Linked DNA regions of Saccharomyces cerevisiae S288C. The gene in region 4 interacts genetically with the main gene of each other region. Each region holds a gene or a part of one and is shown on either strand. Other genes may lie near its edges.

Evidence for each region.
Region 1: mutations in VBA4 (region 4) and CUL3 together harm fitness more than expected from each alone (negative genetic interaction), as found in Saccharomyces cerevisiae (one large-scale study listed by BioGRID).
Region 2: mutations in VBA4 (region 4) and ATG42 together harm fitness more than expected from each alone (negative genetic interaction), as found in Saccharomyces cerevisiae (one large-scale study listed by BioGRID).
Region 3: mutations in VBA4 (region 4) and YPL264C together harm fitness more than expected from each alone (negative genetic interaction), as found in Saccharomyces cerevisiae (one large-scale study listed by BioGRID).

Annotation. Positions count from the first base shown.
Region 1 is NC_001139.9:498,628-503,320, reverse strand, and holds CUL3 (cullin CUL3), read right to left. Parts: upstream 3,190-4,693; coding exon 955-3,189; downstream 1-954. Other genes in the region: PEX31 (peroxisome biogenesis protein), read right to left, coding at 1-383; SWC4 (Swc4p), read left to right, coding at 3,415-4,693. UniProt on the Saccharomyces cerevisiae protein: As part of the CRL3 E3 ubiquitin ligase complex; polyubiquitylates monoubiquitylated RNA polymerase II subunit RPO21 to trigger its proteolysis; plays a role in global genomic repair.
Region 2 is NC_001134.8:513,576-517,792, reverse strand, and holds ATG42 (carboxypeptidase C), read right to left. Parts: upstream 2,130-4,217; coding exon 603-2,129; downstream 1-602. Other genes in the region: GTPase-activating protein IRA1, read left to right, coding at 1-443; YBR138C (uncharacterized protein), read left to right, coding at 2,457-4,031; YBR137W (uncharacterized protein), read right to left, coding at 4,210-4,217. UniProt on the Saccharomyces cerevisiae protein: Vacuolar serine-type carboxypeptidase involved in vacuolar zymogen activation, breakdown of the autophagic body, and autophagosome-dependent protein synthesis.
Region 3 is NC_001148.4:42,783-46,716, forward strand, and holds YPL264C (uncharacterized protein), read right to left. Parts: upstream 1,563-3,934; coding exon 501-1,562; downstream 1-500. Other genes in the region: DIP5 (dicarboxylic amino acid permease), read left to right, coding at 1-87; KEL3 (Kel3p), read right to left, coding at 1,769-3,724.
Region 4 is NC_001136.10:686,502-691,487, reverse strand, and holds VBA4 (Vba4p), read right to left. Parts: upstream 3,262-4,986; coding exon 955-3,261; downstream 1-954. Other genes in the region: COX26 (Cox26p), read right to left, coding at 274-474; APC4 (anaphase promoting complex subunit 4), read right to left, coding at 3,648-4,986. UniProt on the Saccharomyces cerevisiae protein: Transporter required for vacuolar uptake of basic amino acids.

The DNA.
Region 1 (4,693 bases), on a different chromosome or scaffold from region 4:
AGATATACCCATATTATACCAACGATCATTAAATGTCCAAAATACCTTGTAATAAATCCAAAATATAGAACACAAACCGTAAATAAGAATATTCCAAGCAAGTTTGCAGAGACATTGTCATTGGACCAAGTGATGATACTTAGAAAGTTATCCACAACAATTAAATATGGGTATAACCTCACTAATGACCTGGAGACTGTTTTAGGTGTTGAAGTCAATAAAGGAGATGATAAAATAGCCTCTTGATCTTCCTCATAAGTTTGGGCGCTTAATTTACCTCTTCGTTTTCTTAAAGCGCTACGAATGTGTTTATTCTTGCTTTCTGTAGACTCAGCTACTGTACTTGAGGTTGGCTCTAGATTTTCATTATTTATTTCGCTCATACTATCAAATAAAGGGAAACCAAGGCTTGACAACCAGGGAAGAATACCAAATTTAAAAGTGCCGCTTTATTGATAATAATTTTGGTGAGCTTCTCTTATACCGTAAATTTCAACATATATTTTTCTACCAGGAAAAGTGAAATACGGCCGCTAAGCATCTGAAAAAAAAAAAAGAGCAAGGCGCTGCTATTGATAATAGTTCCTTTGAAGCAGTGCTACGCAGGTCTGAAAGGCTCGTAACTTTAACTTACTTAATGATTAAGAAAGAAATTATTTGACTCAACAAATTCCTAGAAGTTTTTTATAAAAATATAATGAGGCATAATAAACTTCAAGAGATATCGATTACCCACTCCACATTACATTCAAGTTTGACTGGGATATATAGTCTACCATAACTATGTTATTATATATTTTGAAAGTTTCACTAAGGAATGCAGGATGAACATTCAATTAGTATCGACGCATATCCTCTTAATATTGTTCGCTCTGGCAGCCGGATAGGAACTGCCATCTATATATACTGTTGGCATTCTGCAAACCTTATACCTGTGATTTTCATTATAAGCAATTAGGAAAGGTAATGGTAATAAGAGGGGTCATCTGCGTTTCTCTGGATGTATTCTTTCTCTATTAAAAGCTGAATGCTTCGTTTCAAAATGCTCGGTGTAAGACTGAGCCGAGACTGTGTCCGTTTCGTAGTTCTTTCAAGTAATTGCTGATGGCTTAGCTTACCTTCTGTTTTCATGATACGAACAATAATAGCACTAAGCTCCATAACAATTTCATTATCATAAGTGTCCACGGAACTTGCGGTTGCCAAATTATCTGATTTCTGAGATGGTAGAGGGCATGCAATAACCGGCACTTTCACTTTCCTGTTTGGAGAAGAAAAGAAATAATTAACTGAAAATTTCATATTTCCTGAACTGGATGATTTTTTCAAAATCTTACATCTGGGTATTGTCGACATTGACATTACAAGAGACTTAACGTCATCTATGGGAATATGAGTTAGTTCATATATTTCCCCCAACGTTAATTCTTCATAATCTTCAAATAGAAGGAAAATCACTCCAGCGTAAACAGAAAAACTTATTTCGTAGTAACCGCTATTAAATTGGCAGCCAATTTCAATTACACTTAGATGATGAGCCCACTTTAGCACTCTTTCTTTGTATTTTAAGCTGTAATAGCCCTCAAAGCCAGCTAAAATTTGTGACATTCTAGGAGGTAGTGAAATACCTTCATCAATTGGATTAGTACTCTGAAAGGGCCAGCTCGTTCTCGTCAAAACTTGTGGTGCAAAACTCAAATATTCTATGCTGTTGATTGTTGAGTGTTGGAATGCTTGATACATTTCAGAGGATAAAGATATATCTCGCAGCATTATCTCCAATTTTGAGGTAAAAAAAGTTCCTAGAACCTTCTTTATCATTTGCACCATCCATTTTTCAATTTCCACTAAAGACCTCTGCTGCAGTAATCTTCTGGAGAGTTGTTTTTTGTAAATCTTTTCAAATATATCCTTCTCAGTTAGGAGTCCGATTAATTTGGTACTATCAAGCAAATCTTGCTTGATCTTCACTATTTCAGCATCTTTTTCCTTGGTTCGTTTCATACAATGGTCCACGTAGGTAGAAAGATACTCAGATGGTAATGCTCCTTCTTTAGAGAAATACATTGAGAAAACATCGCCAAGTATTGCATTAGATACATCCCCGGTCAAATTATTAAGACGAACAGAACCAAAATCAATACTTTCCAAAAACGAGTGTTGACTGCGATATAGCTCTACAATTTCCGAAGACCAAGTAATCGCATTCTGCCCTTTTTTGCGGTTACCTTCATTAAAAGGAATATTTATGGCATTTTTATTGATGTAAGATTTAATAGATTCAATGACAGTAACGCGATATTTTTCCTCGCTTGACAAGTCATAAATTTCTTGGAGTAGCTTTCCATTTGAAATTACCATTGCTTCGTGCGTTAGATCTTCAATAATATCACTCAACTTTCCCCATATAAGGACATTTTCTAATACAGTCTTCAACTTATTATGAGAATCCACATTTAGAAAAGAGGAGTCTAGCATACTTTCAAACTGCCTTAACTTCCTAATCTTTTCCAGGCTCTCAATTGGCGTTAATAATTCAATATCAATAGCTTTATTGTAGTATTCTTCTGTCGCGCTAATCAAAACCGGCTCAAAATCGGTTAAGAAAAAACTATCTCTATTGTCATGTAATGTCTCCATCATTCCTATTAGTACTTTCCACAAACTAGTATGTTCGGAGTCGACAGATCCTAAATTACGAATCCTTTCTATATCAGATATCAGTGCTGAGATGAGAGAAGATGAGCATTTTTGCAATATTTCGATTCGGAAAAGATCGAGGCACATGTCGTATACCTCCATGCATCTATTTGGTTTGCAATAAACTTTGTCCATATACATCATTAAGTCTCCCGTTATTTTAAAACAATGGCATTGCACCTCCCATAACCGTGCCATAGTTCCAAGAAACTCATAATCATGAGTATTGTCCTTGACTATCGTTTCCCTCAAAAGCGCTAATTTTTGGATTAAATAATCTTTCAATCTGTTATAAAGTATTGGCCCCTTTTTATTTAAAACGATAGTATAAATGGTCTTGTACACTTGTTCGAAGGAAAGGTCGGCCATGTCATCGCTGTATATATGATCAATGGCATATTTAACTGTTTCCCAGGATTCCTCAAAAGATTCTTCTGACAAACCGAGTTTTTCTGGGACACTTATCTTTATTTTCTTATTAGTTATCATATAGTAGCCCTAATTTCAGATTTGAGTTAGCCCGTTTAGAGTATACTTTATATGAATCAGATTAGAATACGCACACTCGAACTTATTTAATGAAGTTGCGATGCGCCAACTCCGGGTAGCTATTTAGTGATAAATCAAGAATCCACTTTGTATTTTAATAGCAACAAGCATTCATAACATATTTCTCCGATAATACGAAAATTTAGTAAAAAAACCACAGGTAATATGTCATCATCAGACATCTTTGATGTACTAAACATTAAGCAAAAATCCAGAAGTCCAACTAATGGCCAGGTATCAGTGCCTTCGTCCTCGGCAGCCAACCGGCCCAAGCCTCAAGTGACGGGCATGCAAAGAGAACTATTTAACCTGCTAGGAGAGAACCAACCCCCCGTTGTTATTAAGTCTGGAAATAACTTTAAAGAAAAAATGCTTTCGACGTCCAAGCCATCTCCTTGGTCATTTGTAGAGTTCAAAGCTAATAACTCTGTGACTCTGCGTCATTGGGTCAAGGGTTCCAAAGAATTAATAGGAGACACACCAAAAGAATCGCCATATTCTAAGTTCAATCAGCATTTATCTATTCCATCATTCACCAAGGAGGAGTACGAGGCTTTTATGAATGAAAACGAAGGAACTCAAAAAAGCGTAGAAAGTGAAAAAAACCATAACGAAAACTTTACTAATGAAAAGAAGGATGAAAGTAAAAATAGCTGGTCTTTTGAAGAAATAGAATACCTGTTCAATCTCTGCAAAAAATACGATTTACGTTGGTTCCTGATCTTTGACAGATACAGTTATAATAATTCAAGAACACTTGAAGATCTCAAAGAAAAATTTTATTACACCTGTAGGAATTATTTTAAAGCAAGTGATCCTAGCAATCCGCTTTTATCTTCTTTGAATTTTTCAGCTGAAAAGGAGATAGAGAGAAAAAAGTATTTACAGCGTCTTCTTTCTCGTTCTGCAGCAGAAATTGCTGAAGAAGAGGCACTCGTAGTAGAGTCCAAAAAATTTGAAATGGCTGCCAAGAGAACACTTGCAGAAAGAGAATCATTACTCCGACTGTTGGACTCGCCACATTCAGATCAGACAATTACACAATACCTTACCTCTCAGGGAATGTCTCAGTTATATAACGCGCTTCTAGCAGATAAAACTAGAAAGCGGAAGCACGATTTGAACATCCCTGAAAATCCTTGGATGAAGCAGCAACAGCAGTTTGCCCAACATAGGCAACTTCAACAACTGAATGTAAAAAAGTCAGAAGTCAAGGAAAATCTCTCCCCCAAGAAAACCAAAAGACAAAGACAGGAAATGCAAACGGCGCTCAAAAGAAAGTCAGAAAGCGCATATGCAGAACAATTGCTGAAAGATTTCAATTCAGATGAAAGGAAGGCTTTAGGTGTGATTACGCATGGTGAGAAGCTATCGCCGGGTGTATACTTAAGATCTACAAAATTATCGACCTTCAAACCTGCGCTGCAGAACAAAATTCTCGCCA
Region 2 (4,217 bases), on a different chromosome or scaffold from region 4:
ACTCAGATAAATCTAATATAGTCTTATACCAAGGAGCACTTTTGTTTAGCTGTGTTATGTCAGACGAACCATGTAAATTCCGTTTTGCTCTATTGATGAGGTATTTGCTCAAAGTCAACCCTATTTGTGTATTCAGGTTCTATACGCTGACTAGAAAGGAATTCAGGAGGTTATCAACCCTAGAACAATCATCTGAAGCGGTTGCTGTCTCTTTTGAATTGATTGGGATGCTTGTTACACACAGTGAGTTTAATTACCTAGAGGAATTTAATGATGAAATGGTCGAACTTTTAAAAAAGAGAGGCTTGTCAGTTGTGAAGCCTCTGGATATTTTTGATCAGGAACATATAGAAAAGTTAAAAGGAGAGGGTGAACATCAAGTGGCAATTTATGAGAGAAAAAGATTAGCAACAATGATACTGGCAAGAATGTCGTGCTCCTAATTTTAAATTAGAGTATTGCAGTGATTATATACGTTTTTCCTTATAATTATATTTTGTTTTATATTTGTTGGATTGTAGATTTTAAATTAAATGAAACGTAGAGATTTGTGTAAAGTATAATGATTGCAAGGTTAAGAGTGAAACATTTTTAGAGCACTACTAACTAGCATTTTCCAAGGTGGAAAGATCCGAAAAAGCACGATTACCGGAAATCCAACTGTTGACCATTTCCAAACTTGCCTCCGGTTGATCATAGGGCACCATATGACCGGCATCGTATATTCTCAAAAAGGTGAAAGGGCCATAGTTCTTGACTTGTCCCAACTCTTCACCTGTTTCTTTACTGACCCATGGTCTTAACATCCTTCTCTGATACCTACGTTTATTGATCCATTCCAACTCATTGGACCAAGCATGGTTTCCCAGCCAATTACAAATATAATCCTTATCACCCGCATATATTAATACCGGAATGTTGTGATTTAATAATTCAGCAATATATTGTTGAAATGGTTTACTTCCATCGCCCGTAAACAAAAATCCGGTGAACACGTCATTATCACAGCCAGAATAATTATGCACGTCGGACCCTAGCGTTTCTTGAACTTCAGGAAAATTCATATACTGGTCGACATAGCGGAGACCTGTATAACACATACCATCAGTACTATTATCTTCACAGGGCCCTCTAATGTCATAGACGTTGAGTCCTGTGTTAATGTACGGTTCCAAAAGTGCAGAGTCACAGTAAGCAGTGGCGACTATGCATGGTAAACTTGATTTAGAAGCATAACATAACTTGTTCAACCTACGACAACGACCTGCAGCTTTACTCATTTTCTCACATTCTTCTGATGAGAGAACAGGGTGATAGCCCCCTTTCCCGCATGCCATTGGTTCATAATAATCTGCTTGAATCAAAGGGTCTGTGATACCATTACCAATCATAACTGAAGTTAAATTGAACGTTCTTTCAGGGTTCTTGACAACGATCTCATGTGCAATTTGAGGGATATAATGTCCTGCATAGGATTCGCCTGCAATGTGGAAATCGTTGGAGCGTAAATGAGGAAAAGCTTCAAAAAACAATTCCAGGAAAATGTACGCATCTTTGCCTGCTAATTTTGTAGAGGAGACTTTTTCATCACCATAGGAAAAGCCGACTCCGAGTGGCTGTTCTAAGAAGATCATTGAAGCGTTATTATTCCAAGAATAGGGATTGTGGATTGGTTTCATATCGGCGCCAATTGATGAGGGGCCTAGTTCAAATAGCAACCCAGTAAACGAGGAACAACCAGGTCCACCATTTAACCAAAGAATAATTGGGTCGTTAGCAGGATCGTTCCTACTTTCAAAAAACCAGTAAAAAAAGTGTTTGGAATCCTTATAGTCCATGTAACCCGACCATTGTTTTACGGTGTCAATTCCTAGTTTAGAAGGATCTACTGTTCTAAGTCTCAAACTGTAATCTGTGTCCACAGAAGAAATAAAAGTTGTAAACAGCGGATCATCGTGATTCAAACGGTCCAATTTAAGGGTTTGCTGTGTATTCTGTGGAAGCTTTAGCTGTTTATCCAAATTGGCAAAGGTGGTATCATCTTCAAAAAGAGAAAAGGCTCGGCCGAATGAGGCGTATTTGATGCTAATAAGAAGCTGAAGCACGAAAACTAAGTTTAGATACTTCATTGTATGTCGGTATCACTTTTTGTATAGCTGTTTTAAAGAAAAAATGCAGGATGACAATTTTCGTTCTTATATAACCCCTGTCCCCTGACATTTTTCGATAACGAAGCGTTATCTCACCTTTCGTAGAATGCTAGCGCCGCCTCGGCCATTTTTAGGAAATTTCCTAAATCGCTCACATTGTAAACAAGAACATCTTAGAGAACTCTAAGCACTTTTAGAAAAAAGGATTATACTAAACGAGTCAAAAACTATTTATCCAACAAGTCACAGATTGGAATAGTCTCGAAAACTTGATCCAACCACTAATTAAAAGGTTAAAATTAAAGGATGGAGAAAGATCAAATCCAGCCTAGGGTGTTGGAGTCAGTAGACACAAACTCATTATCCTTGCTTTCGTCCAATACCAGCTCAAATATGAATAGCAACACCAACAATAAACTCAGTATAATTGCCAGTGATATTTCTACAGGATCCGTACTTTCCAGGCCCTTGACTCCTCCAGTCGTCCAGGATATAGAGAATAACTCCATGTTACAATGGCAATTTGAAAAGAAGGAATTTATCTTCGATAGTAACAGCACTCCTTCGAAGCAGGCAAAACCATTGCAGAGAAATTCTCCATACCAAGGCAATAGTCAAAGTGAAAATCAGAACCAACAGTTATTGAATGTAAGAAAGCGTCGCTCACAATTGATAGGTGCCAAGCCTAAAATTCCATCCAAATTGTACCAATCTGTTTCCAAATTAGATCTAATTGATGACAAGAGCTTTACGTCTTTGCCAATTGCGCCTCCATGCAATATCGAAACTAATGAAGATGACAGTGGAAACAACGAATACAACAACAATAAAAAACGGCCCAGGTTGAATCCTGTAAATGAACTGCGAGTGCATAACAACAAACGTAATAGGTACGTCAGTTATGGGCCGAGTTTAGATACAAAAAACTACGAGCTAACAGAAAATACTTCTCAGGATATACCACCGCTAGTCCTGGTTGAAGACTACATACCGTATACCCAAAGTAAATCAACAAAAAAAATGGTATCTATTTCAGATTTGAAATCAAAACTAAGTAAAAGAAGAGATAATCATATCCCGCTGAGAGTAAAAAATTCATATTCTGAAATTAATAAGGAAACCAATAGAAATAGCTTTGAACCGAATTCACTAACACTGATACCCCATATATTAAGGAATACTGAAGAAAATAGGGACGAAAGTAACAACCCCTTAGATTTTATCAAAGAGGAAATTGAAATAAGTGATATTTCCATACCAAATTCCATTGAAAATATGGTGGTTAACTTGGTTAATATTCCATCTTCCAATAAAAGTTACGATGATCTTTATCTATCGGAATTAAATGTTCATTCCCAACTGAGGAAATGTGTCATCTGCGAAAAGGCCCTATATGAAATTAGCTCGAGACTTTTAAATTCAGGATACTATAAAGAAATTGTATGTGAGCAATGCACAGTTAGATATGAAGAAGCCGCTAAAATCTTTGAGAACTGCGAGTTCGAATCATCTATGGATGAATCAAATCTAAGCAGCGGTACTTTTAGTGATCTAGAGAATTCAGCAGAACCGTTTCATTTATCGACAGATGTTCCAAAAAAAATAAATAGGCACATAGAAGATAACAAGATCGACCTTAAAAAGGAAATATCAAAAAAAAAGGACAGCTTCTCTAAGGAACTAATAGAACGATTGCAGTTGCAATTGCTAGAAAATGATAAGTCAATCAAACATCATTTTAATAAAGATGCAATGGGCTCTAAATCAATGAATTGGTTTTTGGAAGCAAGAAGAAAATTGAAGTGGAAGTGGAGAATAAATGGTTTACTTCCGCATTTCTTACGCAATCAAAATAGTGATCGTTTAAATTTTCAACCTTGAAAATACATTGCTAAGAGATCACTAAAACAAACAGGACTGCATTGGTGCTGTGTATTTTTTCAAGGGCAAAACAATCAATATATATATGAAAAGCTTACGACTAAATAACAGTTATACTAGTAACGGGTAAAAAATATTCTATGGTGTTCAAGCCTCTATTTTACTTCTACCTACATTCTCAATCCA
Region 3 (3,934 bases), on a different chromosome or scaffold from region 4:
AAGGACCAAGAAAAGGAAGAGCGTTTAAAAAGTAACGGTAAAAATATGGAGTGGTTCTATGAAAAATTTTTGGGTAATATCTTCTAGATGCCTTTTTAATCAAAGCCTTAGGGCAACATGAAACTATATTCATCCAATCAAAAAAATGAGCACAAGAATTTCTCTTTGATCATTTTTCTTTTACCTTTAATAACAATCGTTATCAACATTTTTTATTTCCAGTCCTACCACAGCATTATTGCATAATTAATTTACAGGAAGATTTTCTTGAAAAAATAGAAAGAAAAATACCCATTTTTTCAAGGAAAATAAAATTTATATATTACATACATTTCTATAAAACAGTTTAAATTCAAAAATATAAACAAAAACATAAAAATAAGAAAAGTTCAAGTCTTCGTTATTTTCTGTTTGTGGAGTAATCGATCTTATTAACATATATGTGGAGACTTTTCAAATATAGCCACCTGCAACATGGAACCATAGTGTACAGGTATCACTTAATCCTCCAAATCATCTAATTCAAAGTCCGATGTGGAGAGTAGCTCGGCAGTAGCCACAACGTTTTGTTTGGAGGCTCTCATATTAATGACCCATATAGTAGAACTAACGATAACTGCCATACCGCACCACGTCCATATGTTTGGCCAGTGGTGAAAGAGCACGACATCCCAGAAAACAGCATATATAACTTGAGTATAAGTCATTAACGAACCCCTTCCTGCACGCTCCCTCTGGATTCCCATTGTTAACAGAATTTGGTGAATGAATCCAGAAATACCCAAGTTCAGAAATAGCCCCCACTGCTTCCACGAATGAGGCAGTTGTAAAGACATCGAGGGAATTAGAAGCACACCGAGGGCTGCCACAACAGTAGTAACCAACGAGAAATAACTGACACTCATGATGGCATGTGCCTTGTTACCGATATATCTTATGATAATGTAAACACTACTCAATCCGCAAACCCCCAATAAACTCACCCCGATAGCAATGAGTCTTAATTTGGGATTTTGAGTCTCAACAATATCGTCTTGTGGAGATTGCTGGCCTTGGGTCTGCTCACCAAACAAAAATGTAGGTCTAATAATTAACACCACTCCAGAAAATGAAATTAGGGACCCCAAGGCTTCAAGTTTACTAAATGGCTCACCCAGCAGTAAAAATGAAAGGAAAATGGTTAGGGTTGGCGACATGAAGGTGATTAAGACAGCGTCACTTATACTTAGATACATTAAAGAAAAGTACATTCCAAAAACACCAAAAAAACCCATTATACCTCGGAGTATCAACCATTTCCTGCATGGTGCTGGGCCCCATGGAATATCTGGAACACTTTGTTTATTCCAATGCATGTATACTAGCGTACAACAGTACGTGATAGACATCCTTACTAGCAGGATTTGCAGAGGATTAATTCTTGATTGCGAAGTTTCCAGTGGGTCATTTTCTAGGACTTTGGTAGAAACTACCATAGAAGAATTGAAAAAATAAGACACTATAAGTAAGATAAGTCCATAATTAGGCTTTAGATAATCTTTACTAATTCTTTGCAGCGTCATTGAGAGAGGAGGTGTTTATTCTACTTTTCTGTTGGGGCAGCTTTCGTGAATGTAATAATGAGATAATTTTCCCTGTCTCCTTTGTTTTTTTTTCCAGATGACTCAATTAGTGACTAAAGAAAAGGATGCCATATGGAAGACAGATATCTATAAAAAAAAAAAATGCTATAAATACTTTTTAAACTCAACTACAAAAGCGAAAATGTTTACCTTCTTTTGGAAGGTTTAGTAGTCGTATCTCTTTCAATGATTCCGCCTGTATCCTCCAGACGCTCTTCCTCAAGGGTCACCTGATCTCTTCTTTCCCACCAACGGTCTTCACATAACTCAAATGACTTCGTCTTTAACTGTTTACCCTTAAGGTTTCTGTTGTTAGAAATAGACCAGGTTAAGAAATTTGCACCTTCCCTTAAGTAGAATGCTCTTAAAGTTTCGAACGGTTTTGGGTGTGGTAGCCAAGACCTTTCGTCTGGAATCTCCATCTGCGCTTGTTTGTCATCGTCGCTCTCGCTTTCCTCATCTTCATCACCTTCAAGGGGTCCTGCATCTTGTTCCTCTTCGCCGTCGTCCTCATCCTCCTCATCGTCCTCGTATTCAAACTCATCTTCGTCCGAATCTCTATCACCTAGTCTCTTTGCTTCTTCGATGGCAGATAGGTCTTCCCAGTAAACCTTGACACCATCCAACTTGTTCAAATCTATACTATAAAATGAGTTTATAGGATAATCTTTTTCGCCCAGTTCCCAGACACCACTGTAAATGAACAACGAGTCGCCCACTACACAAGTTGCTGCGTTAAATCTTGGGTGAGGTAATTGATTTGAGATGGTAATATCTTCTTGGTTGTCCAAATCACTGTCATCTTCGTTATCTTCGTCGTCATCGATAGAGTTAGGACCCGTTGTGCTGTTGTCATCATTGTCATCGTCGTCGTCATTTAGATTAGACTTGGCCAGAATGGAATTTAGTAAATCCTGCAGTTCCTTTTCTTGATCTTTATTAGATTTTCTTTTACTTGTGGCGGGTGAATTTTTACTATTCGTTTGACGCTGAGGTTTAATTCTAAGTTTAGACCATTTGTTCAACTCTAGGTGGAACATATATAGGTCGTTATAGAAAACGGACTCTAAGGATTCCTCTGTCTCTTGTAAATCGTAGACACCACCAAAAGCAACGGACTTGTTTTGCTTCCATAGATTGAACGAATACCCGACTCTTGGTGAGGGCTGGTTCTTGAAATTCTTTAATTTTTCCCACTGCCACTTCTTTGGATCAGGCGTTAAGTTCAGTTTCCATGCATCATTCAAGATTTTTCCCTTCATTAAATTTTTATTATTTTTGGCAATGATTTTACAGTAACCACCCATTAATATGGCAGAATTATCTGTAGGAATGAAACAATGACCCGATCTAGCGTCAGGTTTGCTGTTTGTCTCCAATTTGGTCCATTTGTAGGTTGAGATATCAAAACACCACAAATCATTTAGGTAAGAAGTTTGACCATTCCCCAAATCTCTAAATCCACCAAATAATATGAAATAGTTTTTCCAAGCAATAATTCTATGACCTGATCTGGCGCTGGGTGAAGAGTCTCTACCGCCAAACTCCAACTTAGTGAATTTCCTTTCAACGCAGTCAAACAGCCATGTATCAGAATAGTGGTAGAATTTAGATTGTTTTGGGGACGAAAATTCACCACCGTGTAACAGTGCTATTCCGGAAGGATGCACAGCGACAGCGGCACTGGATCTGGGCAAAGGTGCATTTTGCGAAACGTATTTTTTCCAAGAGTTGTTCTTTATGGAGTATGAATACAAATCATTATAGAAATGTGTTAGTTTGGTTTCTGGATCTGTAAATTCACCACCGAAAATGAACAATTCATGTTTATTGTGTTGCGGATTTGCAAACATCAACGGATGAGTACGACAAGAGGGTTTTTCCACAGAAGTGATGTCTACATGCTCTAATTCAATTTGCTTTTTGCTAAAGCTAGAGAGAATTTCATCGAGATCTTGATCACTTTCATCATCTTCTTCGCCGTTTAAAGACTTATTCTTGTTCTTCTGAAACTTTTTCTCCTGCTTTTTTTGGTTTTTCTGATTCTTCAGTTCAGCACGTGCCTTTTTGGCCTCTTTATCCTTCTTATTCTTCTTTGCCATTAATCACTTCTACGAGTCTAGTAGATCTCTTCTCCTTCCTATAAGTGGTTAATGTATTCTTCGAGAAGCTCATCATTTTTTTTTTTCATTTTTTTTTTTTTTTTCAGTTTTCTACAATTTCATCAAATCAATGGTTAAACCGGGCAGAAAAACTACCAAGCGTTACTTTTACTGATGTTAGTACTACTACCGCAGTTATTGCGACTACTA
Region 4 (4,986 bases):
AATGGACGGAAAAGAATGCTTCTCTTTTGTAATATAGATGTTTAAAGTAATCAGGAGGGCAGTATGTATGTGTAAAAAATAAATAAATATATATATATATTTGAGGAACCAGATCTCAAATGAAAAATATAAGCCAGTATATTTTTTGCATTGTAGCCACTGTTGTAACCTCTGGGCATATAAATAATAATGTATAGCGCCTAGTATCAAACTAAACTCGCCATGTTGGTAGTGTTACACTCATTTTTAGCAAATTTTTTTTTCTTATCAAACTCATGCTTTTCTTGCCTTACTAAAGAAGTATACAGCACCAGGCCAACCTAAACAAACGCTCAATACTGCACTCCATTGAAAGATTTCTGGAATGAGCCTTCTACCTTCCGTAATTACCCACGATTCACCTATTCTACCGCCTGTATACCTCTTGATTGGGGCAGCACGAGCGGAAGATCTCAAAACTTGGCTGAAGAACATTTTACCTATTTAGAATTAAAAGAGTCTGTAAATATCTGTGATATGGTCAAGTGTCTAAAAAGTACAGACAAGGAAACGAAATAAAAAAAGAATTGTTTCGTCATGCAAGAGGAAAGTATGAAAGAAAAATGACTGGCTTATATATTAAGTGTCATTTAGTCGGAGAAAACACTATCATAAACAAAACCATGTTTTCTTTGGTTGCCTACTGATAGAGGGGTTTCCGCTTGCTGCATTTTCAGCAAGTAAAAATCAAGCTATTCTGGCCATTCATTTCTTGCACGGATACCATATCCCCTTGTTCACTCTTCTATTCTTCCCCCGCCCCATACGATCATTTTTCAGATCCCGCCTTTGTGCGGTCACCACAATGATTGAAGTTCCCTGCATCTTTATCTAAGCGACAAAAGTATTATCGGGTTTAAGAAAAAAGAAAAAAAGTATTTGTATTATTTAAAGTATACATTTTCATCTACCGGTTCAAGATAGTGACAAACAATTTTGACTACGACAATGGATTCTGTTGAAAATGAATATTGCTACGACAGTAATCGTAAAAAAAAGGGTAGAGAGTTTGAATACGTTTCGACATGCTTGTAAATAACACTCAATCAAAGTTTGAAAAACAAACTTTGGGGCTGATTCGTGTACCCAATCTGAAGATTCCGTAGCGTGCTTGATAATTTTCAAAAGGTCCTTTTTAAGATAACCTTGCTTGCTAAATGGCATCACCTTCTCATGCATAAGTTTTATTAATGTTTTGTGGAAGACATAACCACCCAAGGAAATACCAACCGTCCCCCCCACGGCACCGAAACAATATACGATAGAACCACTGATAGGTGACTTTCTTTGTTCATGGTACTCATGATAAAGATTTGACAGCAAGGTCAATATCATAGAGGAGCCCAAAAATGGCAGAGACAAACATATATATTGCTTCCATACTGGTAAATTCAAACTTACCCCCATAAGTGCCACATATAGTAACAGGGTGGCTCCGCTTAAAACAAATTTTAGCAAAAAATTCTGTCCTTTCGACTTCCAAAAATAAGAAACACTAAAGTAACCCAGTACAATGGAGAAAAAGAATGGGGACAATCTCTCTGCAAGTTGTAAAGTGCTTAAATTTAAAACAATGATGAAGTACGTTGTACCGAATGGGATGATGCACATTAATGCTGCAAAGCAAAATGAAATTCCTATCATTGTCCATATTAAACGCTTGTCACCTTGTAAGGACATTGAAATTACAGAGTTCATGTAAGTATCGCTTGTCTCTATCAAGAAAAATAAAATGCCACAAACGATAATTACAGAAAATAGTAGCGCTTGAATCATCGTATTATTCTTTAACCCTGTTAAATCCAATGAGGTCACTTGAACGAAACAAAGTAGGAATAGCGTAAGTGTCAATATTTCGTATAAATCAGGACTTAATAGAGTATTCTTGAATCTTTTCCATAATGTAGGCGTTGGGCGTCCATATAAAGTGCTCTTAACAGAATACATATCTGCCAGCATAATCGAGGCATTCACAAGGCAAAAAGGAACTGGTATTAAGAAGGCATTTCTCCACCCGCTACCATGAGAAGAATCAAACAAGTTCATCATAAAGGGCCCAATTACCACACCCATAGCAAATGTTATCATAGAGGCACTCAATGAGTACCGACTGTCGTTCTTTTGAGAAAACCGATTCATAATAGTACTTTTGAGCGCTATTAAGGAACCGCCCCCAAATCCTGTGACACAACGGGCAAAGATAAACGTCCAAAAATGGGCAGAACTCCAAGATAAATAGCCACCAAGGATAAAACTGAATTGAGCAATACACAACAACAATTTTACACTGGATATTAAAGATAGCTTCAAAAATACCAGTTGCCCAATAGCATTACTCAATAGGTATGCTGAGATGACTAAGGATAATCTCCATAACTCATGAAACTCCGAAGCAATTTTGGACGCAATTACTAGGATTATAGAACTGTCCATTGCAATAAAGAATAAATAAGTACACATACAGGATGAAAATATCCGTCTTCTCGTCAGATCATGTACAAGTTCATCAGATGATGTATTTTCGACATAAGGAGGATTCAATCCGTTCTCTACATCCCCGATGCTCTGGGGTATAGAGCCATATCCATATGAAGTGATTTCATCTCCGCTGACTGGTACTTCAGGAGATGGTGCAACAATGTGCAAAGATTTACTACTTGACGTCTGGTTATCTGCCTGCACTACAGGCATATCATCAGCTCTTTCAAACGAATTTGAGGAAGATACTGGTAGCTCGTGCTCACTCATCGGAGTATTGCAGCTGGTAATACTTTGCAATGGTGATACTGATCTATCACTAAAATCTGTAATAGAGCTTTGCAAAGCTGAATTTCCACATGCTTCATGTTGTGAAGGCGGCTTAAGATCGTCTTCATTAGCCTTGTCCGCAGGTTTTCCTTTAATGCTATTGACCTCATCTTGGGGCGAGTCATCAATTTTTGGGCCTTCGTGAAGAGGCTGTGCATCAATGGTATCAATATCAACCGCTTTCGGAATTGATACCTCCTCTTGTTTACTAGGAGCTGATAATAATGGACTATTTTCGTTAATCTCTTCGATTTTGTCGTTTCCTAAAGCAATTTGATTCGAAGTTCTTGGGACTTTAGCCTCTCGTTGAACCTCATTCTTCAATGTTTGCACGCTCTTTCTCAAGTTTCGCTGCCTGTTTTTCAATTTAGCAAACTCACGCAGTTTCTTGCGCTGTCTATCCTTCTTCCCCATCTCTACTTAACCGACGTCAATTACCTTGAAAATGTAAAAAAAAAGTAATCAAAAGTAGCAAAAATCTGAGTAAACTGACACTTCGGCTATTCTATATAGTATATCAGCTAAATTATCTTAAGATAAGCAATAAAAAGTGAGATAACGATGAAAAAAAAAAAAAAGACTTGACACAATTGACTCCATTTTGAGATTGCGGGCCCTTGAAATTTTTTTTTTTTCTCAGTACACCACAGGCGGGTTCCAAACTTCTTCATAGTGCGCCATACAAAAGAAAAGTCTTGGGAGATGATGCATACGCTATTTACGCTTACATTTCATTACTACTATTATTGGTGATCATTATGCAAATACTAAAAAAAAGCTACTCGTCATCTGTCTATGTGTCAAACATTTTGTTTTTCTTTTGGAAACACTAGGGATGCGCTTCTTCCATCCACCGATACCTTCGCGGTGCATGCTATGAAATCATCATTTTCCCTATTCTCCCTGATGTAAGCAGGAATAGCTATTGTGCCATCATCTTCCTCGTTTTCATAGTTTTCTCCCCTATAATCGGTGACGTGGCTACTATGATAGTTACTATCTGACAATCCAATATCCCGAAGCAAGCTATGGACCCTATTCGGCACAAACCTTGTACTGCTCAACCTATAGCTCTTGAATAGCGCCGGAATCTTGACTGACGATTCCTTTGATATAATGCCTAAATTCTCATCTTTCAGAGTACCTATATATAGTTTCTTTTTGTTTTCTTCTGAGAAAGGTTCTTGAGCACTGTTGTGTTTTGTTACCTGAATAAGGTAGACTATGTAATTATGCTTTGGTAATTTTATGGCATCAAGCAAATTTATTTGCGAAGATGGATATTTTTGCGCAAAAACATCCGTTTTTAAATCAACCAGAATATGCTGTTGAATATGAGAATTAACATTACTTTGTGCAATATCTTTTTCCATATCAGACATGCTGTTAATTAGGTCTCTATAAAGTTTCACGTCGATTATTGAGCTAGGTTCCGTACCTTTTTTAGATAAGATTCTGTCAAAGTAACTTAGTAAATCGTATCCAAAGTAAAGATCATCCTCAAATTGAAATTTCAGTTTATAATCTTCATCTAGCGCTTCATGAAGTCTGTCGTTGAACCATATGAAAAACTTCTCAAAAAGTGTTTCGTCCCTCCCCAAGCCTATTATTGAATTTAATGTCATAGTTAACAATTTCTGTGAACTTTTTAGGAGCACTTCAACAGCTGTCAAATCTGACGTATAACTGAGCTTATTCTGTATAGAAAAGGCTTGTAATATTGCCCTTAACTTCTCCACATAAATAATGATTCTTTCACATGCGGGTACAAATATTAAAGTTAAAATCTGAACAGTTTTTTGGTAAGCTTCACAACCTAAATACTTCCACCTTTTAAAGTTCTTCTCACCTACTGAATTGCAAAGCCAGTCTTCCAAGTCACATGAGATCTCTCCAAGTAAAAAGAGGGCTTCTAATTCCGATTTGAGTTTGCCATATCCGTAGGCTTCATCACACAATCTTTTGACGAAATCTAAATAAGGTGTTGCCAGTTCCCGGTTAATGAACTCGAGATGAGTAAGCATATAACCTATAAGCTCTTTTATTACCATTATATAATTCAGCAGGTTCACTGATGATTTGCTCTGTAATAAAGGTCCTAAATTTAAAGTTTGTACAGTTCCATCCTCATAGAAGCAC